4 linked regions of the Saccharomyces cerevisiae S288C genome follow. The gene in region 1 interacts genetically with each later gene. Each region holds a gene or a part of one and is shown on either strand. Other genes may lie near its edges.

Region 1 (7,778 bases):
AAGAACGTTATTTCCACAGTGTGAAAAGGGAGACATTGTTGGCATTGGCTATAGGTCACGTAGTGGAACAGTATTTTTCACCAGGAACGGAAAAAAACTAAATGAAAAATCTGTTGGTGGTCATATCCGCGGCTGGAAATTCCAATACCTATACCCGATCATTGGCTCCAACGTACCTTGTCAAATTCATGTGAATTTCGGCACTTATGGCTTTGTTTATATAGAAGCAAACGTTAAAAAATGGGGATACGCAAAGTCAAACGGCATTAAATTACCTCCTCCTTCTTACGAAGACTACGGTAAAGATACCCTATTAGAAAGCGGTGGTGAAGACAATGATTTCGACGAAGATTTTTCAGACGGTGATAGCGACAATATTGCGGCTGGTAGTACTACAAATCTCAATGATGATATAATTATAAGAAACGGTGAAATATTACCGCCACCACCTGGATTTGAATTCACTATGTCCCCTCCCACTGGAAAGAAGATCATCAATGAGGAAATTAATCTAGATTCCTTACCTATGCTACCACCAAGTTACTCGGACGATGAACATCATTCGAAAAATGATAAATCAGCAATAAGCGGACGAATTATTGGAACGAGCAGAAATTTAATTACTGATGAAGCATCTTTCGATAGTGTTGATAATGATAACGAAGATGAAAATGATCACGAGAGAGATCCCGAACAATTTTCAGAATTTGATGATTACGAAAGCAGGATGCATGGCATATAATACGAAAATGCATGAGATAGTAAGGCTGAAACACTAGCCCCGGTCAGTTATCTTTTTTTGCGCTGTATTACGCAGAGCCACCATTTTTTAAAAACATTGCAATTTATAACGTTTTCTTCCTTATTGAGGGTTTCAACGCTATCACCTACTCGATATCGCAGTGCAGCATATAGATATTTACATACATATATACATATGTTTACGTACACTAGTAAGGGCAACTGGTTGACCCGCAAACTTCCTTCTTACTTTCCGTACTTTTGCCATCTTTACTTGCACCTCCGTGCTACCTCTTAATGTGTCACAAGAAGAACGTATGAAGTATTTGTCAGCGCTTCAGACATCAGCATGGGTTGCAAATGCGTGAGATTAAAATGAAGCGTTCCAGCTCGAAAGAAAATTTGCTTATCTTTCCCTTCTATCATTTTTTTTTTCTCGTTTTTTATTTTGCATTGCCTTATCTTTTGCCGCCAGAAGAAACAAGGTTGCCATTATCGTGCCATGCGTTTACTTGCTAACGCCCTATGATGTTCCCGGCGGCTTTTGGATACTAATAATAGCAATCATATACCCTTTATTGGTTACTCCTATCCAATGATGAGTTTTTTTAACTCGTTTAAACATTAGGGATGCAATCTTGTCGACACTCACTGATCATATCCCGAATTTTGCTCAAGAATGTTCATATAAAGGGAGCGAATCCTTAAAAATACTTTTGGCCCATTCCTATCATTTTTACATTGCATGTCCATCAAAAACAATCGTGAAAATAAGCCAAAAGAAAAATGCCTACCTTGTATACTGATATCGAAATCCCACAATTGAAAATCTCTTTAAAGCAACCGCTAGGGTTGTTTATCAACAATGAGTTTTGTCCATCATCAGATGGAAAGACCATCGAAACTGTGAACCCAGCTACTGGCGAACCGATAACATCCTTCCAAGCAGCTAACGAAAAGGATGTAGACAAAGCTGTGAAAGCTGCCAGGGCTGCTTTTGATAACGTTTGGTCGAAGACATCTTCTGAGCAACGTGGTATTTATCTTTCAAACTTATTAAAACTTATTGAGGAGGAGCAAGACACACTTGCCGCATTAGAGACTTTAGACGCTGGAAAGCCTTACCATTCAAATGCCAAAGGTGATTTGGCACAAATTTTACAGCTTACCAGATATTTTGCTGGGTCCGCTGATAAGTTTGACAAAGGTGCAACCATACCATTGACTTTTAACAAGTTTGCATATACTCTAAAAGTTCCTTTTGGCGTTGTTGCTCAAATCGTTCCATGGAATTATCCTCTAGCTATGGCTTGTTGGAAATTGCAAGGTGCCTTAGCAGCCGGTAACACGGTTATCATCAAACCTGCTGAGAATACCTCTCTATCTCTACTTTATTTTGCTACTTTAATTAAAAAAGCAGGTTTTCCACCTGGTGTTGTCAATATCGTTCCTGGTTATGGATCACTTGTAGGCCAAGCCCTAGCATCTCACATGGATATCGACAAAATATCTTTTACGGGAAGCACCAAGGTCGGTGGATTTGTGTTGGAAGCTTCCGGCCAATCGAACCTTAAAGACGTTACACTAGAATGCGGTGGTAAGTCTCCTGCTCTCGTATTTGAAGATGCAGACCTTGATAAGGCTATCGATTGGATAGCAGCTGGCATTTTCTACAATTCAGGACAGAATTGTACCGCAAACTCAAGAGTTTATGTTCAAAGTTCGATCTACGACAAGTTTGTTGAAAAGTTTAAAGAAACTGCAAAGAAGGAGTGGGATGTTGCAGGAAAATTTGATCCGTTTGATGAGAAATGCATCGTTGGTCCAGTTATATCAAGTACACAGTATGACCGCATCAAAAGTTACATAGAACGTGGTAAAAGGGAGGAAAAGTTGGACATGTTCCAGACCTCTGAATTTCCTATTGGTGGAGCTAAAGGCTACTTCATTCCCCCAACCATCTTCACTGATGTCCCGCAAACATCGAAACTGTTACAGGATGAGATATTTGGCCCGGTTGTGGTTGTTAGCAAGTTCACAAATTATGATGACGCTCTGAAGCTGGCTAATGATACTTGCTACGGGCTCGCCTCTGCGGTCTTCACAAAAGATGTCAAGAAAGCGCACATGTTTGCTCGCGATATTAAAGCAGGAACTGTTTGGATCAACTCATCTAACGATGAAGATGTTACCGTTCCTTTTGGCGGGTTTAAAATGAGTGGTATTGGTAGAGAACTGGGGCAAAGTGGTGTTGATACCTATCTTCAAACAAAAGCAGTTCACATAAATCTCTCTTTGGACAACTAATGTGATAGTTATCATTATGTAAGTGCGTAAGTACCTAAATAGCTTAGCCTGACGACGGATGAATATGTTGACAGTCTAGCAAACAGTAGTAGTCCACTACTCGATATAAAACTGTAAGCACCATTATTTCAGCATGCGGAACAATTGTTGTTACTAGGTCCTAGAAATCCCTTAAGATGGTAAAAAAATAGAGCTATAAACTCAGTGAGATTTATTTTTGTGTCAAGAAATTATACTTGCGTGTTAGTTTTCTCTATTCCCACCATTACGTAGATCTTCCGTCTTTTTTTTTTCTTTTTCTGCATATGACGTCTGTTCTTCCTTCCCCCCCTGGAGTACAAGGAAAGTATCACTATTAGAACTCTACAGTACCTTTCTTCCACGCCCTTTAGTGCATTTAGGGATTTTCATTACTGCTAATCCAAGACTTGAACCGGATTGTTGATCAGCCCCCTTCTTAAGCTGATTGCTAAACTCCCTAAGGGTTAAGGAATTAGTAAGTTTAGGGAGGAGACAGGGAGATTGTTCAAACGAATAGCGTAGATTTAACTGATCATACCTCAGAAACTAATTGTATAAAATGGCAAATCTGGATGGGAATAAATTTGACTCATGCCAGGTAATTATACCTTGGACTTGTATCATAGAGATATAGATTATACACATTTAGAAAATTAGCCAAAAGAAAAATGCCTACCTTGTATACTGATATCGAAATCCCACAATTGAAAATCTCTTTAAAGCAACCGCTAGGGTTGTTTATCAACAATGAGTTTTGTCCATCATCAGATGGAAAGACCATCGAAACTGTGAACCCAGCTACTGGCGAACCGATAACATCCTTCCAAGCAGCTAACGAAAAGGATGTAGACAAAGCTGTGAAAGCTGCCAGGGCTGCTTTTGATAACGTTTGGTCGAAGACATCTTCTGAGCAACGTGGTATTTATCTTTCAAACTTATTAAAACTTATTGAGGAGGAGCAAGACACACTTGCCGCATTAGAGACTTTAGACGCTGGTAAGCCTTTCCATTCCAATGCTAAACAAGACTTAGCCCAGATTATAGAACTTACAAGATACTATGCGGGGGCGGTCGACAAGTTCAATATGGGTGAAACCATTCCATTGACTTTTAACAAGTTTGCATATACTCTAAAAGTTCCTTTTGGCGTTGTTGCTCAAATCGTTCCATGGAATTATCCTCTAGCTATGGCTTGTAGAAAAATGCAAGGTGCCTTAGCGGCCGGTAACACGGTTATCATCAAACCTGCTGAAAATACCTCTCTATCTCTACTTTATTTTGCTACTTTAATTAAAAAAGCAGGTTTTCCACCTGGTGTTGTCAATGTCATTCCTGGTTATGGTTCCGTTGTGGGGAAAGCTTTAGGAACCCACATGGATATCGACAAAATATCTTTTACGGGAAGTACTAAGGTTGGCGGCTCAGTATTGGAAGCTTCCGGCCAATCGAACCTTAAGGATATCACACTAGAATGCGGTGGTAAGTCTCCTGCTCTTGTATTTGAAGATGCAGACCTTGATAAGGCTATAGAATGGGTAGCAAATGGTATTTTTTTTAATTCGGGACAGATCTGCACTGCAAACTCAAGAGTTTATGTTCAAAGTTCGATCTACGACAAGTTTGTTGAAAAGTTTAAAGAAACTGCAAAGAAGGAGTGGGATGTTGCAGGAAAATTTGATCCGTTTGATGAGAAATGCATCGTTGGTCCAGTTATATCAAGTACACAGTATGACCGCATCAAAAGTTACATAGAACGTGGTAAAAAGGAGGAAAAGTTGGACATGTTCCAGACCTCTGAATTTCCTATTGGTGGAGCTAAAGGCTACTTCATTCCCCCAACCATCTTCACTGATGTACCAGAAACATCTAAGTTGCTGCGTGATGAAATATTTGGCCCGGTTGTGGTTGTTAGCAAGTTCACAAATTATGATGACGCTCTGAAGCTGGCTAATGATACTTGCTACGGGCTCGCCTCTGCGGTCTTCACCAAAGATGTCAAGAAAGCGCACATGTTTGCTCGCGATATTAAAGCAGGAACTGTTTGGATCAATCAAACCAATCAAGAAGAAGCTAAAGTTCCTTTTGGCGGATTTAAGATGAGTGGTATTGGTAGAGAATCAGGCGACACCGGCGTTGATAACTATTTACAAATAAAATCAGTCCATGTGGATCTTTCATTGGATAAATAATTCGTTACATAGTTATATAAATGTTTACATGAGATTCAAAGCTTCATATTCTATGAAATCTTTATTTTTTACGGCTTTAAATGAAGTGCGCGCAGCCATGTAAGCTAAGCGTAAGAGAATGAAATATTATAACCAACCTTCAGAGAGCAGGTGATGACAAAAGTTACGAACACGAGTTTGCATCCTAATAATAATGTTTAACCGTACCACTCAACTGAAATCCAAGCATCCCTGTTCCGTGTGTACGAGGCGAAAAGTCAAATGTGATCGTATGATACCGTGTGGAAACTGCAGGAAGAGAGGACAGGACTCCGAATGTATGAAATCAACAAAACTAATAACGGCTTCATCTTCCAAGGAATATCTCCCTGACCTATTGTTATTCTGGCAAAATTATGAATATTGGATAACGAATATTGGGCTGTACAAAACAAAACAAAGAGATCTTACTAGAACACCAGCTAATTTGGATACTGATACTGAAGAATGTATGTTTTGGATGAATTATCTTCAAAAAGACCAATCATTCCAATTGATGAACTTTGCTATGGAAAACTTAGGTGCTTTGTATTTTGGTTCCATTGGAGATATCAGTGAATTATATTTGAGGGTGGAACAGTACTGGGATAGAAGGGCAGACAAGAATCACAGTGTAGACGGCAAATACTGGGACGCACTAATATGGTCTGTCTTTACCATGTGCATTTATTATATGCCAGTCGAGAAGTTAGCAGAAATATTTTCAGTATATCCTCTCCATGAATATTTGGGTAGCAACAAAAGGCTCAATTGGGAAGATGGTATGCAATTAGTCATGTGCCAAAATTTTGCACGCTGCTCATTATTCCAATTGAAACAATGTGATTTCATGGCGCATCCCGATATAAGGCTCGTTCAAGCATATCTGATTTTAGCCACTACAACTTTCCCCTACGATGAACCGTTGTTGGCAAATTCGCTCCTAACACAGTGCATCCATACCTTTAAAAATTTTCATGTGGATGACTTTAGACCTTTACTTAATGATGACCCCGTTGAAAGCATCGCTAAAGTAACCTTGGGAAGAATATTCTATCGCCTGTGTGGATGCGATTATCTTCAATCGGGGCCACGCAAACCAATTGCACTTCATACAGAAGTATCCTCCCTATTACAACATGCAGCATATTTGCAGGATTTGCCTAACGTTGATGTTTACAGGGAAGAAAACAGCACAGAGGTCTTGTATTGGAAAATCATCTCATTAGACAGAGATTTAGATCAATACTTGAACAAGAGTTCTAAACCTCCCTTAAAAACATTGGATGCTATAAGGAGGGAGCTCGATATTTTTCAATACAAAGTAGATTCGTTGGAAGAAGATTTTAGATCAAATAACAGCAGATTTCAAAAATTTATTGCACTTTTTCAAATATCTACTGTTTCCTGGAAATTGTTTAAGATGTATCTCATTTATTATGATACCGCAGATTCACTACTAAAGGTTATACATTATTCTAAGGTAATCATTAGTCTTATTGTTAATAACTTCCATGCAAAAAGTGAGTTTTTCAACAGACATCCGATGGTGATGCAAACCATTACGCGCGTGGTCTCTTTCATCTCCTTTTACCAAATTTTTGTGGAATCGGCTGCTGTCAAACAACTTTTAGTAGATCTAACTGAACTTACTGCAAATCTGCCCACAATATTCGGTTCAAAACTAGATAAACTAGTTTACTTGACCGAAAGGCTCAGTAAATTAAAACTTTTATGGGACAAGGTACAGCTTCTAGATTCAGGTGATTCGTTTTACCATCCTGTTTTCAAAATACTACAAAATGATATTAAGATAATTGAGTTGAAAAATGATGAAATGTTTTCTCTCATAAAAGGACTCGGGTCTTTGGTACCGTTGAATAAGCTTAGACAAGAATCGTTGCTTGAGGAAGAGGACGAAAACAATACGGAACCAAGTGACTTCAGAACTATTGTAGAAGAGTTTCAATCCGAATATAACATTTCTGACATACTTTCCTAACTGCAACCATATTTCATATCCTTTGAAATCTCGCGGATGAATCGTTAAAGGAAAGGGCATACACTTTCAAATGAAACACAATCACACTCAGGAAATAAACAAAAAACTTTGGTATTACAGCCAAAACGTTTTAAAGTTAACACCTCTCAAAAACTTTGTATAGATCTGGAAGGTTGGCTATTTCCACGACATCCTTGAGAATGTGTCTAGGGGCCAGGAACCTTCGTTTGATACAAGGGAAGAGAACGTGTTCTAGTAATGAGGATATGTGTTCCTTTCTATTTATAAACTGGGCTTTTTCGTCTTCTGACAACGATGCATCAGATGTATCGACTTTCGGAACCATATCAGGTATATAGAGTAATGCAATCTCTCTTAAAATACCATCTAGACACTCTTGTTCATCCTCCCAATCAACTTCTTTACCCAGGCGATATATAAAAAATGGTAACTTGACCAGAGATGGAATGTAGCCTTTTAAAAGTAGTGGTAGAGATTTT
Region 2 (9,278 bases), 560 kb from region 1:
GAATTGACCTGTGTCTCTACTGTGGCACCCATACCGAGACACAAGGACATGGAGTAATTGACAACAGTATTCACCAATGACCCAGCCATGCCTTGGTACTCCATCGGTAAATTATCACTAAAGATAATGGAAGAAGCAGGAAATGAAAGATCCATCCCAAAACTTAAAATTATCATCGTTCCTAACTGAGTACGAAAGTATGTCTCGTGAACCGGTGTAACACTTGCCATTATTGAGCCCACATTGAATGCTACCATAGAAAAGAACAAAAACACTGATGGAGACACATTCTTGATAGTAAATCCTACCAGTAAGGCGGCAATAATACCCCAAATTAAAAACATAAAGTAAGTTCCACCAGCCCATAATGCCGTGTACTGCCTTATATTTAATTGAAATTGGAAATAATAAAACGTAAAGATGCCAAAAGAGCCCCATCCAAAGAATAAAGCCAGCATAATTTGAATCATATGACGATCCTTTATAACTGCGCGCGGCAATAGTGGAGTCTTGGCAAATCGAATCTCATAAATGATGAAAACGACAAGAAAAATCACAGAAATGATTAAAATTACGATGATGTAAGCCTGGTTCCAACCCGATATAGGAGCTTGGTTCCACACAAAATTTAATAAAATGAGACCTATCACGCCCAAAACAGAACCAATCCAATCCATAGAAAAATGATGAATATTTGTTGGTATAGTACTCGGAATGGCATATATGGAGAGCACAAAATTAATGAAAGCGGCTATGCTATACGCGTAGAATGCCCATGGCCATTGTTTTGGGTCCTCGGTACCGATCAGTCCTGCAAAAAGACAACCTAAAGTTGCTCCAATAGGGGCCATCGCACCAACAAAACTAATCACGATGTTTTTACGAAAAGTACCACCTACATATATATTACCAATTATTCCCAGCACATTAGGTAAAACAAATGCAATCCCTAGCCCTTGGAAGGCTCTACTAATAATAAAAAAAGTATCGCTACCAGAATACTTGGTAATCCCACAAATCAAAGACCATATAATAACCAGAACATATCCTACTAACAACATTTTTTTTAATCCGTATATGTCACCTAGTCTGCCACTAATCAAAATAAATGAGCCTGAAACTAGCGGAAAAGATGCCATCAGCCATGACTTTGAGTTTCCTTCTGAGCCAAAACTGTCCGAAAGAATATTCATGATCGAAAGAGTCTGTGTAGTGCCTGCTTGATTTAGAAGCTGACTTATCATGCATGTGAATATAAAAAGATATTCTTGCCATGCATATTTAAAATAGTTTGGGTTCTGCCATTTCTGATTGCTATCTACCATTTCATCTTCAGACTGCGTAAAAGCTGTTGCTGTTAAAGATTCTCCGATATTATTATCTCGTGACGATTTTTTAACAGGTAGTTCTGTCTCATTCTCATACTCACCCTTACTTTCCGTAAGCACAACTAATGACTGATTGCCCATTATTATTACCTGTTTGAGATTCTCTAATTGCCTCTCTTTTTACAATCGTACACTTTGAAAATGTTGTTTTAAACTTAGAATATGCATTTTATTCATTTTATAAAAACGTCTCATTCTTCAGACGTTTATAAACAACTGTAATAGTGTCAACTTTTATATAAAGGTCATCTTACCTGAAAAGTGTAAGTTCTGAAGGTAGAGAAGAGGTCAAGGCAGACAGGATCCTGCGGCTTGACGTCGTCGCTAACGAAACGAAGTAGAAAAAAATTAACAGGTTTGAGTCAGAGAAAATTATCGTTCCACATTGGTGACTCGGTCATTAAGACAACAAGTGCCGGCAATAAATCGCTTACGTAATCTGTGGCAGAATGAACAGGTTAGGTGCATAATACCGCCATTCCATTAGTAATCACTATATTATTTAGTTTATACAAAGAAATCGGAGAAAAAAAGGGAGAAACACCTTGGCAGGCCGCCTTAGGCTTCCTTGGGCTTTGTCTAAATAGTCCGATGGATATGCATTATACTTCAGGCTCAGCACAGCTATACTACTCGTCAGGATGCGTGTTGTCTTCCGCAGAGGCGCCCAAAATATTGGCTGCATACATAAATGTCGAATGTTGCACTTGTGCAAGGTATTGGGCCATGACGTCAGATCCTGGTATCGTTCTATGCCTTGCAAAAGATCCTCTCTTCTTCTTTCTGTTATTTGCTGTTTCGCCATTTGTGAAAATATCTTGCATTGGCGTTTCGTTGTTCTTCGAGTGATTATATGACAAAGTTGAGGGAGCTCTTGGAGGAGCTTGTCTTAATGACGACCTATAATTGAGCTGTGACATTCCTACGGCTTCTTCCTCGTCTTCTATCTTTACTGGTCTCTTACTATTAATGACGGTCTGACTCGAGCTTCTTAGAGTTTGTGATTTTAAAGCGTATTCAGGATCGCTCGGGGAGTGCATAATGACCTCGACGTCTGATGACGAGTCGGAAGATCCCGATGACTTGTTAAATATATCTTCATAATCAGTTTCATCCGATGTCGCACGTTTGACGTCAGAGCTCGCCACAGCGAGACCCAGTCCACCGAAACTTCCAGTCTCATTACCGTTTTCATTTTCAGCCTCTAGTTCACTTTCATTTTCATGCCCAGTATTATTTGCAGTTCCTGTTTCACCACCGCCGTTGTCCTTATGTGCGTCCAGACTAATTCCTAGGGATTCCAAGTTCAAGGGTTTATCAAAAGCCTTTTCCTTTTCATCGATTTCATTCTGCCTCCTCTTTTCTTCCAACTTACTCAAACGTATATTATAGCTCGGTCTTTTAACTTTCTTATAGAATCTTGAATTTTTACCTGCTATCAAATTTTTGTTTATATTGCCACAACGATCTTTGCCGTAGTTTATCAGAAGGCCCTTATAACGGCCACCGAATTTTTCCTCAGTCGCCCTTTTAAGCGTCACTTCACCGGATTCATTTTGTACTGTGGATTCCTTATTCATTTCTTCAACAAGACTAATCGCAGAAGATATATTCATGAAATTTATCCAACAGCAATGGCTATCACTCAAATAGTTAATCTGCTCAATATCACCATAGGTACTAAAGTCCTCTCTTAGTTGTTCCGCATCTGGTAAAGATAGTGTTTCATGCAATTTTTTGTACTGAGGGTCGTGAATAAACTTTTCCTTAAATGCAAACTCTGGTAGGCTTACGTAGACATTCCTACTTGCCCCGATCGTAACAGCCAACGAGATTAATTTCGGTAATGGACCAGAATAATGCCCCCATCCAACTCTCAACATATTCCCATGTAACACTATTGGATCAATAAATGAATTTGCATAGAACTGTACAGCGGATGGAGCTTCGATGAAAGTAACAAAGCATATCTTCTTCTCCGGTATGTACTTAATGCTCTGAAGGATTCCTCCACGCACGACATTACAGATATCCTCCGCCTTTGATCTTGGATTAATGTTTCCTATATAAATTGTTCTATTGCCTATGTCTGAACCCATGGATGATGCCACTTTGGCCGAAACGTTGAAATTTTGCTCCAAACTTTGAGTTATTGGATTCGGCAACACCCTTTGATTCATTTGCAAATTGGGGGATACCGGAGAAGGTGTGGCTATTAACTGTTGAGGTATTATCGCTCCATTGGACTGATTAGAATCATTCATAAACATATGTTCATTTAATGGCAAAGGTGATGGGATATCTTGAGAAAATTGCCTAGAGTTTTCTGTTGTCTTTGAAATTTTGACATTGCTCAAGTGAGTAGAGTGTTCTTCAATAGTTGGTGTTTGATAGTCGCGATAGTTGATTTCTAAATAAGTCCCATCAAGTTCTACCCCTTGAAGTTTCGTCGCAAGCATATCAATCTCTTCATTTAAAGATACAGATGATGACAGACTGGTTAAACTCATATTAGAGTGACCGTATACGGAAACACCAATACTACTATTATTATTGAGTGTGGTGATACCACTCATATTACTTTTATTATTGTTTCCGTTGTTGTTGCTATCGTTATTGTTCCCAGCAGTAACAGAAGGCACCGATAAACGATGTGTGCTCGTTTTACCCTCGTAAATATTAGCAACCGAAGATCTGGCTGAGCTAACTACCAACGGGGCTAGGGATACGTAAAAACATTTAGAAATGCCTAAGTTTTTGGAGTATTTTTTCAAATAATCGAGAACTTCAATAGCCATAGAGATATTCAAAAAGGTTAAAACGGCGTAATTTTCAGGAAATTGATTGGAAGGTACATCTGTGTTCACTAAATCGATAGATTCCAAAATGTATCTTTTGTTTTTTGACCTGTCCAAAAATTGTAATTTCTTTTTGAATAAATCGCTTTTCTCCACGGGGCTTTTGAATTCAATTATAATCGACCTTGTAGCATCTTTGTTCGCTATATTATGATGCAGCGAAGCACTGATCATTGTTGAACCATTGGTAATGTCGGCTTCTTCAGCGTTTTCTGTTAACGCTTCACTCTCAATAAAGGTAGGGAGGCATTTGGGATCATAGTTTAGACAAACAAATTTCAGATTTAGTGCTTCAGATTTCAAAAATGTTTTGAATTCAGATAACCTTTGTAAAATGTTATTGTAAAAGTTCAAACAGTCGCCTTTGGTTAGAAAGCTTATTAGAATGGATAGATTTTTAGTCTCTACATCTTTTGAATCATCGCTCTTCCCTCCTTCAATTAAGTAGGCACTTTCCAGAGTATTGGATTTGACAAAATTTTTGACTATAGAGTGTAAATCAATAGAATGATCCACATTTTCAATAAGCAGCGACCTAGTTCTATAAGCATCATCACCAGTCGGTAGAACCTTGTAATTAATACAAAAGGGTCTTTGTAAAAGCATTTCTGGAAGTATGTCGTCGAAAATGTTATTCCTTGCGAATGTTCTTCTTCCACTGTTGTTCCGGGTGTCGCACCCCTTATTGTTGTTGTGAGTAACATTCCTCGTACTGTTGTTGTTCCTCGAGAAAGAATTTCTCCCCATTCTATAATAGTTCGAGGGTGTTACCATTCCGTTATTAGTATTGTTTTGGTTACTGTTACTGTTTCCGTTGTAACCGTTATGATTAGAAACGGGCCTCGAATAAGCCTTTCTTTTGAGATTAGATGATCTTGCAGAATTATAGCCACTTTGCATGTTAGGCGAGGAAACAAATGGAGATCCCATCAATAGGTGAGATGGAAAAAGACTGGCACCGTATGCAGTATCAAAAGGTGTTGGTGGAATATTAGGTAATGGTGAGTTGGTGTAATATGCTGGGTGTTGAGAAGGACCATATTGGCCGGCACCGTTTACGAAATCAACAGGATGATACATCATTGGATTTCCCACCATGGCGTTCATCCCATTATAATCTTGCTGTTGACGGTATGCGTAATTCGCAACAGGTTTTTTTGAATTGGAATTTGACATATTGGAATCCTCAAAAAAAACAATAGAAAACGGATTCTTGCGAGTCTTGTTCGAGCCGATCAAAAACCCCTTCCTTGATAATATAAACGAACGACGTGAATGAGCCAACTACACCTCTTCAGTCTTTGGGATATCTTCTCTGGATGCTTTTCACGTAACCTGAAACAAGGAAAAAGGGCAGGTTTGTTGTGGTGTTTCTATGCTTGATTTTATTTTTTTTTTTTTAGCCCGTTGAGGCGCAACGAAAGGGGAAGGGTGACCAAAAATAGCACGTAAAAGCTGTGAATAAGGTGAAAGTGACGCTAAATTGAAAGAAAAATCCCAGTGACCATCGAAGCGTTGATTACTGTCTTTCAAACACAAATGTAGGTTGTTTATATATATTGTTTCTTTATTTTAAGCTATGCACTTTCTCCCCCCCAAAAAACAAGCGTATTTGGCACATTAGGGAAATGTGATCACTAGCATATTCTCCCTCGAAAGGTTGGGAGTGTTTGGGCATTTCTTGTGCGCACGGCATCCTCAGATATCCGATTATTTTTACGTTGTTATTTCCTTCAAAAGCATTCAGAGGCTCTTTCTGACGCGTGTCCTGATTATGATCACCCTCGATATAAAATATGTAGTCTAATAATCCACACCATGTATTGGCCCAGTTTGAGAGTCCCGGTTCGCCGTGGCTTCCGTTAGCATTTTCAGGATGCACTTTACCGTAGCCAATCCCATACAAAGATACGCCTTTCACATGTAGTGAATTATGCAACGCAACTAATTGATTTACCAGAGCCTTTTCTTCCTTTGTGGCTGTAAAGCTCTCTGGTTTTGGGTTTTGTGGTTGATCTGAATGGCCTTCGCCCCTAGACTTTTCATCACACTCTTCATCATCCTGGTCACTTTCTTCTCCATTCCTTTTTTTTGAATACCGATACGCTAGTGAGCATTCCACCATAGCTCTTATTGGGCCTTTTAATATCAGTGGTCTTTTCGTTATGGCCAAGTACGGTGGCTCTTCAGGTTCGGTATTGAAATCACCCATCAGTAGGCTATGCCAGCCATTATATTTGGAACATGCTTTAATTTCCTGGATCTTTTGTAAAACCAAGTAAGATTGCCTTAATCTTTCAAATACCCCAAAGGGATGCCAAAATAGGTGTGTATTTGCGACGATAATTCCTCTTGATGATGAATCTGTTATACCCTTGAAATATAGCGATATAATAAGGGCAATATTTTTAGTTCTTGTTCTTGCTGAAATGACATTTCCCGCCAATATATTATCGTAGTCCAGCATCCAATCATTATCTAACTGGAATTTTTTATTGTTCCATGCAACTAGTAGTCCATGAGTTTTCCCTTCATGCCTTTTGAAAATCACATCAAACCCTAACTTATGGAAATTCTCCTGCCAGAAGTTGAGTTCATTGTAATCGACCTCCTGCAACGATACTACATCAGGCCTGTACTTTTTCAATTCGTGGACCAAAACTTTTGATCTCTTATGCCACTTTAACGCTGGTCCACTTTCTGGGAAAAAATCTCTCCTAATCAAGGTTTGTGCTAGAGTATTATAGGTCATTATTTTAACGTCCAATGAATCTTGGGTGACTTGTATGGTCGCTGGCGTAAGACCTTTCGAATTATCATGGTTGATAGGGAGGAATGGTCTTTCAATGAATTGTAAGTCAGGCGTTGGGAAGTCAGGGTCCTTCCCTTGGGATATTAGAGAGTTCCTACGTACCTGTCTCTTCTGAGCACGTTCTTCTCTGATTTTCTTGATTTGATCCACACTTAATTGGTCTCTGTGTATTTTTTGATGTGCTGGGCCATCTTCACTAGGTGAAACGAGGCCTGAGGTGGAGGAGGACTCCTTCTGTGAGGGGGATATTTTGCCTTCTACTTGGCTATCCATATTGAAATTAATGTAGGAGACAAAACAAAAGAAAAAACTGTTTAATGCTGTAAATATTAAATTTTCAGTGAGCTAACTCCACGATAGTAAGTAGTCTGCTTCAACCATGTGTTAGTTTGGTATAACTATTGTGATTGAATATTGGTATTATAGGTCATCCTTTTTTTCTGTGCAACGAAGGGGTGGCTGAGCATTTTATATATAATGTCGGGAGAGGAATGCAGGACTTTTAACATATCAAATGAATAGTATCTGAGTTGTTCACATATTTGGTACGTATATTATTTATTATTCTGCAACTTGTTTACTGCATGATAATATTGAAATAAAGTGAAGAGAAGACGGCACAGAGAAATTACAATGGCGCAAACGTAAGGCAAAAATGGCACAACGAATTCTGAATTCGATTGCTGGATCACTTTTCAAAGATATTGTGTTCGGTTGTGACAAAGGCATCATTAAAATAATTATATGTCTTTTGTCATAAATTTAGATCGTTAATAGGCTTTTTTTTGTATTTTTAATTCACATGTTAAATGTTTCGTTTTGGCAACTAATAATAAACTACATTAAGTAAAATGCAAAACTTCAAAGTGCGGAAAAATGTATTGGTATATAAATACTATAGACAGAATACAGAGAATCCGTATCATTTCAAAGGTTCATTACTTAGTATCTCCGCAGGGAGGATTCTGTTGTTCGCACTTCTCTGCTGAAAGCTATCCTCCTCCTCATCTTCCTCATCTTCATCTGAAATGGCGATGCTAAAAGAATCTACCATTCGAAATATATCAGATCTATCCATTGCCTTTCCATCAAAACTCAATTCAAAGCTTTCGTTGGCATTTGTGGAAACACTGGCCCCGGCTCTCTGCTTCGCATTGGAATTAGGGAGATTCTTTACGGGCTTGCTGTTACCTTGCAGCTGCTTTTGTTGCCGTAACGTTGATGTCAGCTGCACTCCGCATAATTCGTCTAGTGATTTTGAGATCCGTGTCTTACTATTTGTGGACAATTGAATAGGTTGCAAGAAGTGATAGTTTTTCTCAAACTTCAACGAAATTAGCAGGATTATGATTTTTTTGGATATATCGTCTATCGTTTCGTGCACTGGAGATGGTAATTTATATGTGGTAACGACGGACCTAGGTAAGATGCACTTCTTGATGTTGAAATTTGTTTTTGATTTCGTGGGAGAATTCGTCAACTTAGGTGCCACACTAGTGCTACTTCTTGTACCATACAAATCAATTGGCTTGGTAAAATACCGTTTCTTTGTACACGTTCTGGAAGGAAAAATAATTTCATTTATGCTGCTCACTTCCTTCGTTTGATTGAATTTAAGAGATTTAGAATTTAAATGCGACACCGACTGATGATGCGGATGGGAATTTACATTGGTGTTTGCAGCGCCCATGGTATTTGTATATCTAGATGGCCTGTTATTATTACTGCTACCGCCCCCGGTATAATGGTCTTCATTAACTCCTTTATTAACCTGCGAAATACTGTTAAACCTTGGTCTCAGGTTTTTTGTGGGTGACTCTGGATAATAGAAAAACTGCTGGTTGGAATCGAAAGTCGCTTTTTGTTGGAAGCTCAGGACTGGCTGCTGATTCAAATTAAACTGCGTAGGAGGCAGGACCAGCCCACCGCTGTTATTGATGTAAGATGATTTGTTATTGAGCGTCCTTCTTGGCGACACTGATGGACTTGGGCTCATTGCTACCTACTTTTTTTCTTACTGACCTAAGGCTGCAGGTGCAAGAAAAGAGTAAAAGAATGTTAAAATACGTTTTGAAAGGTCTCTGTTTTCATGTACAATTGAGGGATAAAAAAATCTTTTCTTTCTTTCAATGCGGATGATTGACACTTTCTTATTTTGTGTTTTTATTTATGTTCTTTCCTAATCTGGAAAGCATATTAAAGACCGGCGCTACCCGGTTA
Region 3 (9,232 bases), on another chromosome or scaffold:
TACCAATTGCCGCCAATGAATTTAACTTGAGACATTCTCAATCCAGGGCTTTCCTATCAGAAGATGGATCTCCAACACCGGTGGAATTTTTTGTTTCTTCGGATGCGGCATCTGTTGTTAAACATACCAAGAAGGTGCTATTTTTAGAAGATGACGATTTGGCTCATATTTACGATGGTGAGTTACATATTCATAGATCTAGAAGAGAAGTAGGCGCATCAATGACAAGGTCCATTCAAACTTTAGAGATGGAGTTAGCTCAGATCATGAAGGGCCCTTACGACCATTTTATGCAAAAGGAAATCTATGAGCAACCAGAATCTACTTTCAATACTATGAGAGGTAGAATCGACTATGAAAATAATAAAGTGATATTGGGTGGTTTAAAGGCATGGTTACCAGTTGTCAGAAGAGCACGGAGACTGATCATGATCGCATGCGGTACTTCTTATCATTCATGTTTGGCTACTCGTGCTATCTTCGAAGAATTATCAGATATCCCAGTTAGTGTGGAATTAGCGTCTGACTTTCTGGACAGAAAATGCCCTGTCTTCAGAGACGATGTATGCGTGTTTGTTTCACAAAGTGGTGAAACTGCGGATACCATGCTGGCTCTAAATTATTGTTTAGAAAGAGGAGCCTTAACTGTCGGAATTGTTAACAGTGTTGGTTCTTCTATCTCTCGTGTCACCCACTGTGGTGTTCATATTAACGCTGGTCCTGAAATTGGTGTTGCCTCTACAAAAGCTTATACTTCCCAGTATATTGCCTTAGTGATGTTTGCTCTATCGCTGTCAGATGACCGTGTATCGAAAATAGACAGAAGAATTGAAATCATTCAAGGCTTGAAGTTAATCCCGGGCCAAATTAAGCAGGTATTAAAGCTGGAACCAAGAATAAAAAAGCTCTGTGCGACTGAATTAAAGGATCAAAAATCTCTATTGTTATTGGGTAGAGGTTACCAATTTGCTGCTGCTCTGGAAGGTGCTTTGAAGATCAAAGAAATTTCTTATATGCATTCTGAAGGTGTTTTGGCAGGTGAGTTGAAGCACGGTGTCTTGGCCTTGGTGGACGAAAACTTGCCAATCATTGCTTTTGGTACCAGAGACTCTCTATTCCCTAAAGTAGTTTCCTCTATTGAGCAAGTTACTGCAAGAAAGGGCCATCCAATTATTATTTGTAACGAAAATGATGAAGTGTGGGCGCAAAAATCTAAATCAATCGACCTGCAAACCTTAGAAGTTCCACAAACTGTTGATTGTTTACAAGGTCTAATTAATATTATTCCATTACAACTAATGTCATATTGGTTGGCTGTTAATAAAGGGATTGATGTTGATTTTCCAAGAAACTTGGCTAAATCTGTTACCGTCGAATAAATTAACCCTTTTACTTTCTCTTCGTCCCCCAGCCTCCCATCCGTCTTTCTACTATCACTTCTCCTTCGCTTTTAATTTTTGAACTTCCATTATTCTGCAATGCGCACTACAAGCTGGCGTTAAAGATGATTCCACTTGTATTCTCTATATAAATAAAAAATTATATTTTATATGAATAACCAAAAAGATAGTTGCAGCCCTAAATTAGACCTGCTAAATAAATGTGTTCTAACTTTGTTACAATTTTTAAACCATATAACTTCCTTCTTGTAAGTCCTCTAAAATAATATTAAACCCTATCCTGAGTTGGGCCCTGCGTTTTACCCGCAGGAATAGGCCCGATGATTGATTATCCACATCAACTTTTGGTGAAATTCGAGAGAAAATAAATGGGAAGTGAACGAGCAATAGGCAATCAACAAAAAAAAAAAAGGGTTAGGAAATTCGCTATTGTAAAGAGGCAATTTTTAAAATTTAGAGTGAAAATCGCCATTCCATCTTCTTCATATTCTTCGTTCAAATTACACAATTATTGCGGGAGGAAATAGCATTTATTAACCCTAATAATCAACATAAGGCAGATAGCTCTGAAAGAGGCAAGTATCAACAAATAGTGGGAGCATTGGAAATAGCGGGATGATCCAAGAAAGTAGTCCAGATGCCTTAGCAGCAGCAGCAGCAATTGGAAATGCGCTCAGTTATAATGGGAGGACCGTTGACAAGAGTAAAATACCGCAATACAATCAGAGTTTTACCTCTCGAACTACGTCAATCGCAGGGATTAATAGGTATACAATGCTCTCGAATTCTAGGACTAACTCAAGGATGCTCTTAATGAATGGTAACGTTCGCCAATACTCTAAGCGCACGTCGAGTTTGCCAAACCAAGGACATAAGAATACCTCTAATAATTCGGCGGGGAGAAGGCAACACAGGGCTCACGAGGATGCAGAAACCACGTTTCGAGAATTTGGAGGCAAGCAGTCATCGAAGGTTTTAAACATTTCAAGTTCGACTGGTCAGAATAGTAAATCAAGGACCACATCACTTGGGAACTCAGGCAGCACAATAAGGACGATAAAAAAATACATACCAGGCCCTAGGGGGTTAATGGCTGTGGAAGTACCCGTGGAAGTAGAGCCTCCTAGATACAGTCTGAGCAACCGCTCAAACCAACGAGGTGGTAGAGCATATTCTTTGCCTACTCGAAACAACAAAACTAGTCTAATGCATAGGAATAAAACTACTAAGAAAGCAGGATCACAAGAGAAAAAAAGTGAAAGCGGCGGTAAATCAAAAAACGATTATCATGGCAAAGTATTATCTAAAATGCATACTACATCATTAAAGCAACGGCATAACAATGTTCCATTAATACCAACAACTATGAACGAGGAAACGGAACAAGAACTGCAAGAGGATCTTCATGATCCTTTAGAATTTAAACCCATGATTATATCCGATGACGAAAACTCTTTTATTGAACCCAGCGTTCTCGATCGTAGCATACCCAAAAAAGATAAAAGTGGTCTCAGTGGACGTGAGAAAAAGGAAGAAATTGAAACATTGCTTAAAGAGGTTCATAGCTTGGAGGAAAAAATATCAAATATCGAAATAGCAAAATTGAACGAAGAAGAAAGGGAACAAAGCTTAATTTTGGAATTGCGAAAAGTTAAGCTAGATGAAGAACGGAGAATGGAGTTATTGAAAAGAGAGCTAAATATAGTTAAGGAGAATGCCGACCTTGAAGCCCAAGAATTAAAACTAATTGAAAGCAAAAGAAAACAACACTTTCACAAAGGACAGGAAGTAGCATCCGAGGTCAAATCGATCACGATTCGTCAACCTACTTTATCAGAACCTAAGCCTGCCTATGTACCTCCGGAAGACGTGGAGAAAGAGCCATCAACTCTCTCCAATCAAACTCAGAATATTGAAAATGCAGAGAATATCGATTCTGTTGATGCCGAAGGAAATTTAGTAGATCCTATTCTTCTCGGCTCTTTAAACAATTCTAACTTCCACATGAATTCAGATAACGAAGTGAGGTGCATTGCAGATTCAAACAGTCTCACTGGCAGCGAATTATCCGATTATAATTATATAGAAGGCTCGGCAACTGATCTTCGCGCTACTGCAAAGACAAGTGTGGAGTCTGAAATAGGCGGAAATCAGGTTGGACTAAAAATTCCGCAAGATGATGATAGTGAAAAACAGGAAGAACGTACAAAGGGAAAAAAGTCAGGCCTCGTCGATACAAATTGCTTTTTAGTCCAAAAAGAAGATCAAGAAGAGGCGCTTTCCGATAATGAACCGGAAAGTTCTGAAAAATTCCCTAGCACTTCTGGGATCGAGAACGTTAAACTGGAGGATGAGACTGGTAGTGTTATGGACAAAAATAATGGACCCAACAATGACAAGGACGATGATGATGACAAAGACAATGATAATGACGATGATGATGACAAGGACGATGATGTTAACGATGATGACAAGGATGAAAATGTTGACGATGATGAAAATGTTGACGATGATGATGACGATGATGATGACGATGATGATGAATATCATGATTCTTATGACGTGATAATGAGAGATCCGGTTCAAATAGAACAAGATATATCTGACGTGCCTTCATTAAAACACCCTTCAGAATATTCTACCGAGACAGAAGATAATAAAAAGAAGGAACAAAATTCTGAAAATGCAGAAGTTAGTCAGTCCGGAACAAACATGGCCAAGTATTTACGTGGTGCTAATCCTTACCTCACTAACACAAGTTCAGACACTTTCAGCCTAGATTCCGAAAACGTGAACTCCAAGTCCTCCACGGATACCACAAGAGTTGCACCTGACCTTTTGAAAAGCTCACTACAACCACAACTTAGATCTGATTTGAAACAATCAGCCGTTCCATCAAGTACTTCCTCGTCCATTTATTCGATAGAAACGTCTCCAAATATTGATTCCTCTACAGGGAAAACTGCTTCCAATACGAAAACGAACAGCCATGGCCCTCCGACGAGTATTTCAAAACAGAAATACGATCAATCTAGTTCTCATCAAATACCCGTGATGTCTCCCAAGCGTCTCGACGATAAAAGAAAAATCACCAATCGTTCGTGCCTAAGAACTCTACGTGGTAGTTCAAATGAGGCTACTCTTTCGCATAATATAGTATATCCAGCTTCTGACTCATCTTCATCCCCTCCATATCATAGCAAGAAGCCATCAAATCCTCCATCATCTGGCAACTTGGCTTCACACGAGGCGTCCAAGTGTTTTCCAAAAGCTCCTCAGGCGAGCACAACATCGAGACGATTGCCTGATCATGTCCCTCTATACATTGATAAAAATAATAGTGCACTCTACCCCAAAGAACCCCCCGCCAGGAAGTCTAGTTTTGAGAAGGAAAGACCTGCGAAGGATAACCTAGGATTTAGAAGCATGTCTTTGAGAGAGCCACTTATCACAAAGAATGCTACAGCCACAGCAGCAGAGAACCTGGATGTGGAAGAAAAGAAGGAAAAAGGAGGTCATGTCTCAAGAAAATCATGGACTTTTGGTTTGCCCTCTCCGCTGAAAAGGAGAACAAGTCATTCTACTCATACCACGAACGAAACAGAGATAGTTAATCCCATGACGAACTTCAAAAATAAGACCAACGAAAACGATATGCCAATATTAGCAAATAAAAAGAGCTGCAACAACGATGATTCTTCCCCTTACACTGCATCATCCATGAACACTAATGACGTAAGCGAAGCTGGTACAGAAGGCCACCGGTTTTCATTATTCGGAAATAAAAGCCAATTGTCAAATAGGAACATATCTGGTGGAACAGCCACTTTGGAGTCATCAAATCCTGACCTGCCTACAGCCTTACCATTAAGCGTTCCGGTGACTATCATTGATAAAAATGGAGAGATACACAAGCTTCATAACGATGATGCAGCTATAAAAGATAAGTCGCATGACCGTCACGGTCACAGTAAATTCGGTAGGAAACTGAAAAAAATTTTTGGCAGGAAATGATTTGAAAGAAGAAAACATAGGAAACCTAAAATGAAATGTAAGGATATGATGCACTGCCACCGTAATTAAAATAGTTGGCTAGCGCTAGCTTTCTTTTCATTTAAAATTTAATAACTAGTTCGATCACGAATTAATCCAATCTAGTTATCTGAAAAGTGTATATAGAGTAGATAAAAAAAAGGTTTATTAATTATTACAAAAAATTATTATATTCTATAAATTATTGTGTGGCAAAATGAGAAGGGAAAAGTAATAAAAAAATAAAGACAAAGGTGAACTGTAAGGTGAAAAAATTATGCGAGTTTGTCCATTTTCGAGACTGCTTCAAGAGATTCACATAAGTAATCAACGTTCGAATCATTGACTCCGCTAAGCGACAATCTACCATCACCTGTTAAATAGACGAAGTAATTGTTTCTCAATATTTCGACTTGCTTTGGACTAAACCTTGTATAGTAAAACATACCGTGCTGTTGTGCGAAATTTACAAGATCCGGCCACCCTAGACGGTCAAACATCTCCTGTCTGACGTGATGCAATCTCTGAACCATGAAATCAACATCCTTGAACCATTGCTGTTTCAATTTGAAATCTGATAATACTACATTTACCACACGAGAACCGTATCCTGGTGGAGAAGAATACATACCTCTGACAATCTTTTTTAATTGGGAGTCAATATTTTGCTGCAATGAGTTTTTCTGTTGTAGAGGGTTGAACTTTCCATTGTTCGCAGTTGCCGGCGTGATAACGCTTAAGGAACCAACTCGTTCACCATAAAGGCCCATGTTCTTGGCAAAAGATTGACAAAGAAAGATACCGTTACTCCAATTTGGATATTTATTTACATTGAGACATAGCCTCAATAAATATGCGTCCTTTAGTAAGTTACCAGACTCTAAACCCTGATAAGCCATATCAACAATGGGTACCATTTTTAGCTCATATATAGTATCTATAATCTTTTCCCATTGCTCTTTAGTTGGGTCGAGACCTGTAGGGTTGTGACAACACGCATGCAAGATTATGCAAGGTGGGTTCTTATTGTTTTCTTGCTGGTTGTTATATGCAAAGGTTTTCAATTGCTCAATCCATCCGTCGATGTCTATCTGACCGTCCTTATAATAGGAATACCGGTAAATATTTTCAAAACCATTGTTCTGAAAAATGTTCTTATGATTTGCCCATGATGGGTCAGGTATCCAAATATCTCTTGAAATAAATAATGCCAAGAATTTAGCTGCTACAGCTAGGGCGCCTGTACCACTCAAAGTCTGAACAAAGCTGATTCTATCATGGGCTAAATAAAATGGCCCAAACTGCGGACATGATTCCTTGAACAAAAATTTCATAACGTTTTCCTGAAATTCTTTGGAACCTGTTATTGGTAAATATGAAAGATTCTTATTCAACTCTAAATGAGATTCAATCAATTTTTGAGCTTTTGCAACGGAGGGAAACGTCGTCACTTTGCCCCAACCATCTTTATATATTCCTACGGTCAGGTCAATTTTGTTAACATTTTTTACCTTTTTGAAGTGTTCAGATAACCCCAAGACTTTATCTGGAGGTGCTCTTGGTACTCTACTAAGCGATGACGTGTAGTAGGGCCTCCATAGACTGCAATTAGTAAGCCTCGTCCTCAACATCAAGTCTTTCGGCAGTGAAAAACGGATAGTAATTTTCAAATGAGAAGGGAAAACGCACTCAATAGTATGCTATCGTTCAATCCGCTATCGTCTATTCTGTATTTTTTTTTTCTTTTCAATTGCGACGGTTAGCAATTAGATAACCAAGACAGAGAGAGCGAATACTTGCTAGCAATTTATATACGTAAGCGAAAAATGTAAAAAAAAATATGAAAAATGCGGCATCCTAAATATTGGAGCAAAGCAGAATAGTGCTTCCATACTCCAAGATGCCATTTCCGTCGATATTACATCTGACAATAGGAAGATATGCGAGCTATGACTCCAACAATCACATGAGACGGCGTGCAAAACTCATGGAAGCCATCTTCCGCATCCGAACAATATGAATCATCGACGATGGTCGCATGCAAACGCCCTTTAAAAAGTGAAATATTTAAATATAAACCAATTAGTTACAGCAAGTCATTCGTTACTGGAAGTGAAAGGACTTTGATTACGCAAGGCCTTTTCAACTAGAAGTTCCGAATTTTCCATAAACTTCTCAACAACATCTTTGGTCAAACCAGGCGAAGGTAAAATAGCATCGCCTTTGTTGCTGAACATTGTACCACTGCGTGATTCGATAGCGGGGCTCGCAATCAGGGTGCATATTGTTTTCGCATACGTCTCTGCGCTTTGACAGGTCCAGCTGATTATCCATTCTGTAATGCGGCTGAGGTAGGTGTCACTGCCAAGAAGATTATTACGAATGTTCGTTTTGATCAGCCCAGGGTTCAAACCGAAAGTATCTATATTCGTGTATCTGTCTTTAGCGTCTATGACCAGACTTTCATTGGCTGCCACAGTGTTCATATGTGTAGCGTAGGCACTATACTTCTTTTCATCAGAATTCAAGTCATCTGGGTCTCCCACCTGACCATTTCCTGGAAACCCTGCTATGAAAACTTTTGGCAAATCGTCTTTTTTTGTCCTACTAATTCCTAATCGCTTCGCCACATCATGGAAGATAATGTATCTACTCAAATAGCTCACTGCCATGTCTTTTTCCAAACCCTCACTTGTAGCTTGTCTCTGGCGTGATGCAAAAATACCCGTAGTGAAAATCAGATGTGTTAACTCCTCGTAGGGAATTTCATCACTATGAGATATACGCTTGCATTCTGACACTAAACTTAAATCAGCCTTGACAAAGTTAATTTTATCTTTTAGGTCCTCGTCCCTAAAAGTTTGCCCGACAACAGTAACCCTGGCATTTCTTTGGGCCAGCTCTCTACTTATTGCACGTCCAAGTCCACCTGTGCCACCAATTATGGCCACATTAAAACGACTAAAATCAATGTCATTGATATTTTTTCTTTCCCAACTGACGGTGGGATCCTTTTTCCAGAACATCCTGCTAAATGCGCCAATATACTATTATTAGTTTTTCCTTGATACGTGGTAATATTCTGTTTGTTGGTTCACCTTTTCATTCACTTGAATTGTTTTAAATTTTGTATTTATACCTCTGCCGATTATTCCTCCCCTAATTGATGATTGCAGATTATGTAATATATATACATATATGGACGAGGCCCCTAATTGAACAACAAAAATAAAAAGTGTAAAAACATGCTAGTCTCTATATTGATAAAAATACGTATGATGTCCATATAAACTATACGTCATGCAGCTGAAGGAATCTAACTGAATACTTAATAGGTTTCTATAAATTACAAATGTTTGTATTATTTACGCCATCACGCTCACCTTCTTCCCCATCGTCCATTAGAGAATCGGTTTTTCTTTGGCAGTTTTAGTCTTCTGAAGTTATTGCTCACTAGATTATACTTCTTTCTACCCTTTCGCTTAGCCGTAGGCTTTTGCTCTGAGCTTACAACGCCGCTGCTTGCCTCCGGATCATGTTCAAATTCAGTATCAGAGATTTGTGAGGTGGATCCCAAAAATTCTGCCACTTTCCTTCTTTTGAGTTTCACCAGCTCCTTATGGACATCTCTCTCAAAACCTGCGGTCTCGGTTTCTGGATCATTGTCTCGTAATCTTCTGATAACCTTTCTTCTTTTGGGTCTCTTTCTTATGAAGGTATCTTCCCTTGCTTGGCTATCATCATTATCATCATCCTCTTGAAATATGTCCTTCACAACTTTTGGTCTAATTAGTTCATCT
Region 4 (5,764 bases), on another chromosome or scaffold:
AGGACGAGAAAAAGTAGATCATAACTATAAGTTGTGCATACTCATACTCCACACTCGACGGCCTAATCTCTGTAAGGATTGTATTTTATTTTTTATTTATTTATTATTTAGATTTTCTAAAAATAAAAAAAAATCATACACTATTTTGATTACACTACTATGTAATTTATCTTTGAAAACAACCATGAAAAACTCAATTTTACACACACATGAGTTATCATGAGGAGTCATCAGCCAGACTTAACAATCACACACATTGTTAAGAGTGGAAAAAAATAATAGTGATAAAAGGAAAAAAGCTAACAATTTGGATTTTACGGGATCTGTCTAAATACGAAACACACACTCGTTTTAGTTCAAATATCATAACCATAAAAAAAAAAGCACAATTCAACTTGAGCACGCACACTAAGTAGTAACAACGTTCATTTACAGTAAAGCGAACGGACGAAACAAATAAAAGAAAGGCATAGTGAGGGATAAAAGGTAGAAAGAATTCAAAAAAGGGTATCGCACACACACACATAGTAGTCTAATTCATGTTCTAGAATGGATATAAACAAAGATGAAGGGGACAGGAAATAAAATGGCTCGCTCCGCCCTTTTTAGAATCTTTGCAATCCTCTTTGTCTAGCTTGCCATTTTCTGTAGATAATGGTAGCAATAATGGCAATACAAGCCAAACCGACCAAAATGAAAACTAAAATAACACCACCTGGTAAAGTCATTTATGATAGATTAAAAGTGCTGAAATGGGAAGAGGAGAAACAAACAAAGGATATGTAGGAACAAAAGTTTGCTTGAGTGACTAGTTTGAAGTTGAGAAAAAAAAAGAGATGAAAAAGTTAACTTATTTGCTCTTCCTTCAAAGTGTGTAGCGTCTTCCTTTAAATACTATTGAAAGGGAAAAAGAATAAATGGAAAAAGGGTAGTAATGAAAAACTCTAAAGGAAGATAAGACGCAATAAGAGAAAAAAAGGGAAGTTAAGATTACAAGAGAAACAATAAATTGCTTTCAAAGCTTTATATACTGGCAAGCACGGAAGGCTAAATTTGAAAAAAAAAAATGGGAAATTATTATCGGAAAAAATTGAAGCTATCTTCTATTACGCAGTGACAAGTCTATATTGACATCTTTCTGCTTTCTGCTTTCTGTTTGTTGTTTTTTTTCTCATAGTTGTTTTGATTTTACTCTGTTGGAAATGCGAAAATTGTTTTGATTTTACCCGATTGCGACCTATTCCCGGCTTTCCCAAAAAAGGAATTCCTGTCCAATGCAACGACAGCCATAGAAACAGCCGCGGTTGGGTGCGTGGGTGCGGTAATTTAACGATCATATGGTATGGGTGCACGTGGGATTCTAGGGGAAGTGCGCGCGGATACCGAATCGGCCATCGAACCGGCCACCCGGATTGAGTTTGGTATGTTGCCTCTTTGCGCAATTTTATTGAATGCAAAGTTTCTCCTTCTAGTAAAGGACAACAGCTGAAAAATGCTCGATGTCCAAATGACGACATAAACCTCCTCGTTTAGGAAAGAGTTAACACGCCTAGTTTCAGCTTGTTTCTTTTTATTGTGTAATTAGTTTTCTTACTTAGTACATCTTATTGACCCCACTGTCATCGGATGTGAGAGAGTGGTTCACTTCTGAATTAAGTTTAGAGATATACTAAATCTAAATAAAAGTCTCTTTCTGCGTGCATATGTTTTCTTGCGCGGGACTCACAAGGATGCGTCTTTTATTTCATAACGCGGTTGTCCCACCTTAAGCTTAGGTATCAGAATCGACTAAATCGTCGATGCTGTCAATTATGTCGTCAATGAGATCTTTTGCGTCGTTGATTATGTCTTGAAGCCAATCCCCCACTGTGCTAGCAGTAGCGCTAGCTTGTATGCTGCTGCTGCTGCTGCTTCTTGATGATGGTGATGTTTCGCCCAGTAGAGTCTCAGTTGCTGATGGTATTGAAGTTGTCATTTCTAGTTTTATCGTTAATGACGAAGATGGCATAGCGGCTATTTCATCAGTGTTTCCATCGTCGTTGTCATCATTATCATTGTCAACATTGTCTTGTTCTGTCTCTTCGGGGTACCCGCCCCAAATTATATTATAAGTGCTGAATTCACCAAACTTACTGACCAAATAATCAAAGTCATCTTCAATCTCTACTTCTTCGCTGCTCTGGGGTTCGCGGAGTTGGTTCATAAGCATCCCAGTCCCATCATTGGAATTTCTGTCCTTTTCTGCCACACCGCAAATATCACACAAAAGGTTGTAAATTTCGGTATTTTGGAACGGCTCAATGTATCCCTGTGGAAAATATGGCCCCATACCAATAAATACAGATCTCATATCGATCGCGTTATTGTCGTATCCATGTGATCCAATCGTGAACACATTGTCTTCGTTTTTGTCCTTATGATCACCTTTTGCCACCTTCTTCAATTGTTCTTTCTTCATCACTGCATACCCAGGCTCGGGCACAATCCAGATTGACGCCATGTGATGATTTTTTCCATCATTAAAGTTCCATTCTTTGGGGAAATTTCCATTAACGTAAACCGTATACTTGTCTTCATCTATAGAAGTCTTTAAATTGTGGTAAACCTCATTGATGTTTCCGGAATCTTTCAACGATATAGCCATCATCGGACCCTCTAGATATGCGTGCGATACATAATCCTTCCTCAATTTTTCGTCCAGTAAGTCTTCCCATATAATAACATTTGAGGGAACTACGATATCGCTCATACCATGATCGCTAACAATGACCAAATTAGTAAAGCTGGTTAAATTTCTTTCTTGCAGCGATTCCACTAGTTGCTTCAGAAATGTATCTACTTCCCCCAGTGTTTCAGTGAAGTCTTCATAATAGTATTCCGACTCTGACGGATATCCATGCTTATGTCCAAAGGCATCTACGTTCGGTACATAACCGAGAATTAGCTGTGGTCTTTCGTTCAGTGTACTCATATCCACATATTCAATAATCTTGGATAATTTTTGCGAAAGTGGTTCTTTAGCATTGAATTCGTCGAAGTAAAATGGAGTTCTCTCTCTAGCAATAGGATTTTTATGTTCAGGTTGTAGTTTCTCTTCATTATACTTGGTATAATTCACATCGCTACCTGGCCACATATGGGTAGCAGCTTTGAATGGTATATCACCGTCAAATGCAGACTGAACAGTTTGCCATATTGGTTCTGTATCATTATTGTTCCATATTCGAGGGTCCAATACACCTGGATGGAATTCCTCATTAAGATCAGGATCCCAAAATACGTTAGAGACTATACCGTGGTGTATTGGGTATTGTCCAGTAACCAACGTCCAATGGTTGGGAAAGGTCTCCGTAGGGAAGCTGGGTACCATAAAAGGTGTGGACGTGATATTCATACCTCCATCATATTTCAATTCATATAAGTCATGTAAAAACGGTGTGTTCCTCTTAGATATGAGTGAAGGATGGAAACCGTCTAGTGAAATTACTATCGTTAAGGGGAAAAATTCATGCGTACCGTTAAAATACTTCACGTAAGGGTCAAATTCAGGACTGCCAAAGTGCGATAGCACTCTCGTGGAGTGATGGGGTTTTGCTATGTTAATCATCAGAATTAAAAAAATGGCAAACACCAGCGAGCCAAACAATGTGCGAAATATTATTTTAAAAGGCACTTTGGAATGAAATCCCGTTCCAAAAGAAAGTTCATTCTCATCAACAAGTTCAGTATCAATGGGTTGACCATTCGCGTCTAATTCATATAGCGGTATACCCCTTCTAAAGTTAGAACCATCCCTACTATCTTTCGCGTCGCCAATCACTATGGGATTGTTTGTCCACTTCAGTCTATTCTTATAAAACCAATATTTCATCCTGGTCCACGCAGATCGCCACCCCGATCTTACAGCATCTTCATCCGTTATGAAATCATCACGAAATGGATCTTCACTAAAATCATTCAGCTCGTTATCGAGCGACTCTAAATCATTCTGAAGTTCCATCTATAGAGAGTGTTATACTGTACCTCTTTTCAGATATATGTAATTACCTCGCCTCACTTATTTTGCTTATTTGTGGTTTGTTAGGCAGTTTGCATATCGTACCAATGTTTTTTTATAACTTCATGTCTTTTCTTTTTTTTCATTTTTAGCATCGTACGCAGATATCTTGTCTCGTTATGATATTTTGTGAGATAGGTATCCAAAATTAATAAGAGAAAATGTCGTATTGTGTTCACAATTCACCTGATTGTTTGACTAGTCCAACCCCTGGTATAATTGTCACTTAATATATTCTTAGCTTCCAGGTGATGTTTTATTCCATTATTTATGTTATGTATATATAATCGTAACTCTTAGAGCAAAAAGTAAAAAAAAAGGTGGTACTTACCGAGGGAGAATATATACAAATTTATTCGTAAATGTAAATAATTAATTGAAGCAGAGCTAAAAGAAAAATACAAGAAAATTTATTTACACTCGCTGTTTGGTTCTGATCTTTTGGTATTCACAATTTTAGTGCTGTCCAAAAATATTGCGATGTGCTGATAAAGTACATAGTGTGATCCGACTTCGTCCCAGTCAAAGAAAGGATGAAATATTAGTTAGTACATTTACTGGTTGCTACTGGATGTCCTATCTGAATCTTCCATCTTAGGTACAAAAAGATTAAGAAAGTCAATTGTCCTTAGTTTTAAAAGACAGTTACTTCATGTCTTTAACATCAACGGCAAATTACTTTGAAAAAATGCACTAAAAGTTAACACATGTAGGAGCATTCTAAACATGAAATTTTTAATGGTACTTAGGTTTGCTAACGCATCTTGAAAACTAGCAAAAACCCCATAATTAAAATATTCTTGCTTGTTAAACGAGGCGTCCAAGCCATTGAAAGGTTTTATCAATATTCAACCTCTTACTATAAATGCAGCACACCGTAACAGGTATGAGAAAGATGTGGTATTATTATACAAATTGTACTGACCGCTTTCCTACTAATAAAACCAATGATATCCTAGGGACGCTCGAGTTTTCACATTATAGAACATTTATTATTATTTTCGGCATCAAGCCCCAGAGTTCCTTCGACACGTTCCATTTGTTTCAAAAGGAGCATAAAAGTTTCTTCAACATTATAATCTAACTCGGCACTGCATTCTATAAATGCTGCCTGGTTCCTCTTATCTTGACTGCCAATTGTCGAAGCTAGTTTCTCTCCTTCAGCTTTCGTGACACACCTTTTTACACCTTTTGTACTCCTTCCCAAATCAGCTTTGGTACCCACAAGTATTACCGGGAGGTTATCCTTACCCAGCTGATCTACCAGCTTGTCCCAGAGAATGGGAATAAGATCAAAGCTAGCACGATTTATTATACTATAGCACAGTATTATGCCTCGTACGCCCGTCAACGATTTAATGTTTAATAGAGAAACTTCATCTTGGCCTGCAGTATCTAGAATTTCCAGAGTACAGTCATGACTTTTATAAGGAATTATCCTGGTAAATTCATTTTCAATAGTGGGATAATAGGATTCAACGAACCGCGATTCTACGAAGCGAACCGTTAATGTGGTTTTGCCGACATTTCTAGCTCCTATAAGAGCAATCTTTCTCTGAAAGTTATGTGTGGAGTTCGAAGAAGACATAGTGGCGTATTCCATTATGTCACAGGTTATATCTTTTCTCGCCGTGCCCCAATAAAACTGTTTCGGTAAAGAGACAATTCGAACCAGCCCAAAAGAATGAATATGAAAATATCAATATG

The links.
Region 2: mutations in CEP3 (region 1) and NAB6 together harm fitness less than expected from each alone (positive genetic interaction), as found in Saccharomyces cerevisiae (one large-scale study listed by BioGRID).
Region 3: mutations in CEP3 (region 1) and SEG2 together harm fitness more than expected from each alone (negative genetic interaction), as found in Saccharomyces cerevisiae (one large-scale study listed by BioGRID).
Region 4: mutations in CEP3 (region 1) and PMP1 together harm fitness more than expected from each alone (negative genetic interaction), as found in Saccharomyces cerevisiae (one large-scale study listed by BioGRID).

Annotation. Positions count from the first base shown.
Region 1 is NC_001145.3:596,832-604,609, reverse strand, and holds CEP3 (Cep3p), read left to right. Parts: upstream 1-5,451; coding exon 5,452-7,278; downstream 7,279-7,778. Other genes in the region: EAR1 (Ear1p), read left to right, coding at 1-742; aldehyde dehydrogenase (NAD(+)) ALD2, read left to right, coding at 1,528-3,048; aldehyde dehydrogenase (NAD(+)) ALD3, read left to right, coding at 3,738-5,258; mismatch repair ATPase MLH1, read right to left, coding at 7,415-7,778. UniProt on the Saccharomyces cerevisiae protein: Acts as a component of the centromere DNA-binding protein complex CBF3, which is essential for chromosome segregation and movement of centromeres along microtubules. CBF3 is required for the recruitment of other kinetochore complexes to CEN DNA.
Region 2 is NC_001145.3:30,387-39,664, reverse strand, and holds NAB6 (Nab6p), read right to left. Parts: upstream 5,423-9,278; coding exon 2,018-5,422; downstream 1-2,017. Other genes in the region: ATR1 (borate transporter), read right to left, coding at 1-1,469; NGL3 (3'-5' poly(A) RNA exonuclease), read right to left, coding at 5,814-7,331; YML119W (uncharacterized protein), read right to left, coding at 7,981-9,054. UniProt on the Saccharomyces cerevisiae protein: RNA-binding protein that associates with mRNAs encoding cell wall proteins.
Region 3 is NC_001143.9:235,367-244,598, reverse strand, and holds SEG2 (Seg2p), read left to right. Parts: upstream 1-2,015; coding exon 2,016-5,414; downstream 5,415-9,232. Other genes in the region: glutamine--fructose-6-phosphate transaminase (isomerizing) GFA1, read left to right, coding at 1-1,379; aspartate transaminase AAT1, read right to left, coding at 5,708-7,063; YKL106C-A (uncharacterized protein), read left to right, coding at 7,333-7,452; YKL107W (putative short-chain dehydrogenase/reductase), read right to left, coding at 7,529-8,458; SLD2 (Sld2p), read right to left, coding at 8,812-9,232. UniProt on the Saccharomyces cerevisiae protein: Likely plays only a minor role in eisosome assembly.
Region 4 is NC_001135.5:162,340-168,103, forward strand, and holds PMP1 (proteolipid ATPase), read right to left. Parts: upstream 729-5,764; coding exon 606-728; downstream 1-605. Other genes in the region: YCR024C-B (uncharacterized protein), read right to left, coding at 260-526; YCR025C (uncharacterized protein), read right to left, coding at 1,107-1,517; nucleotide diphosphatase/phosphodiesterase NPP1, read right to left, coding at 1,772-4,000; putative GTPase RHB1, read right to left, coding at 5,031-5,660.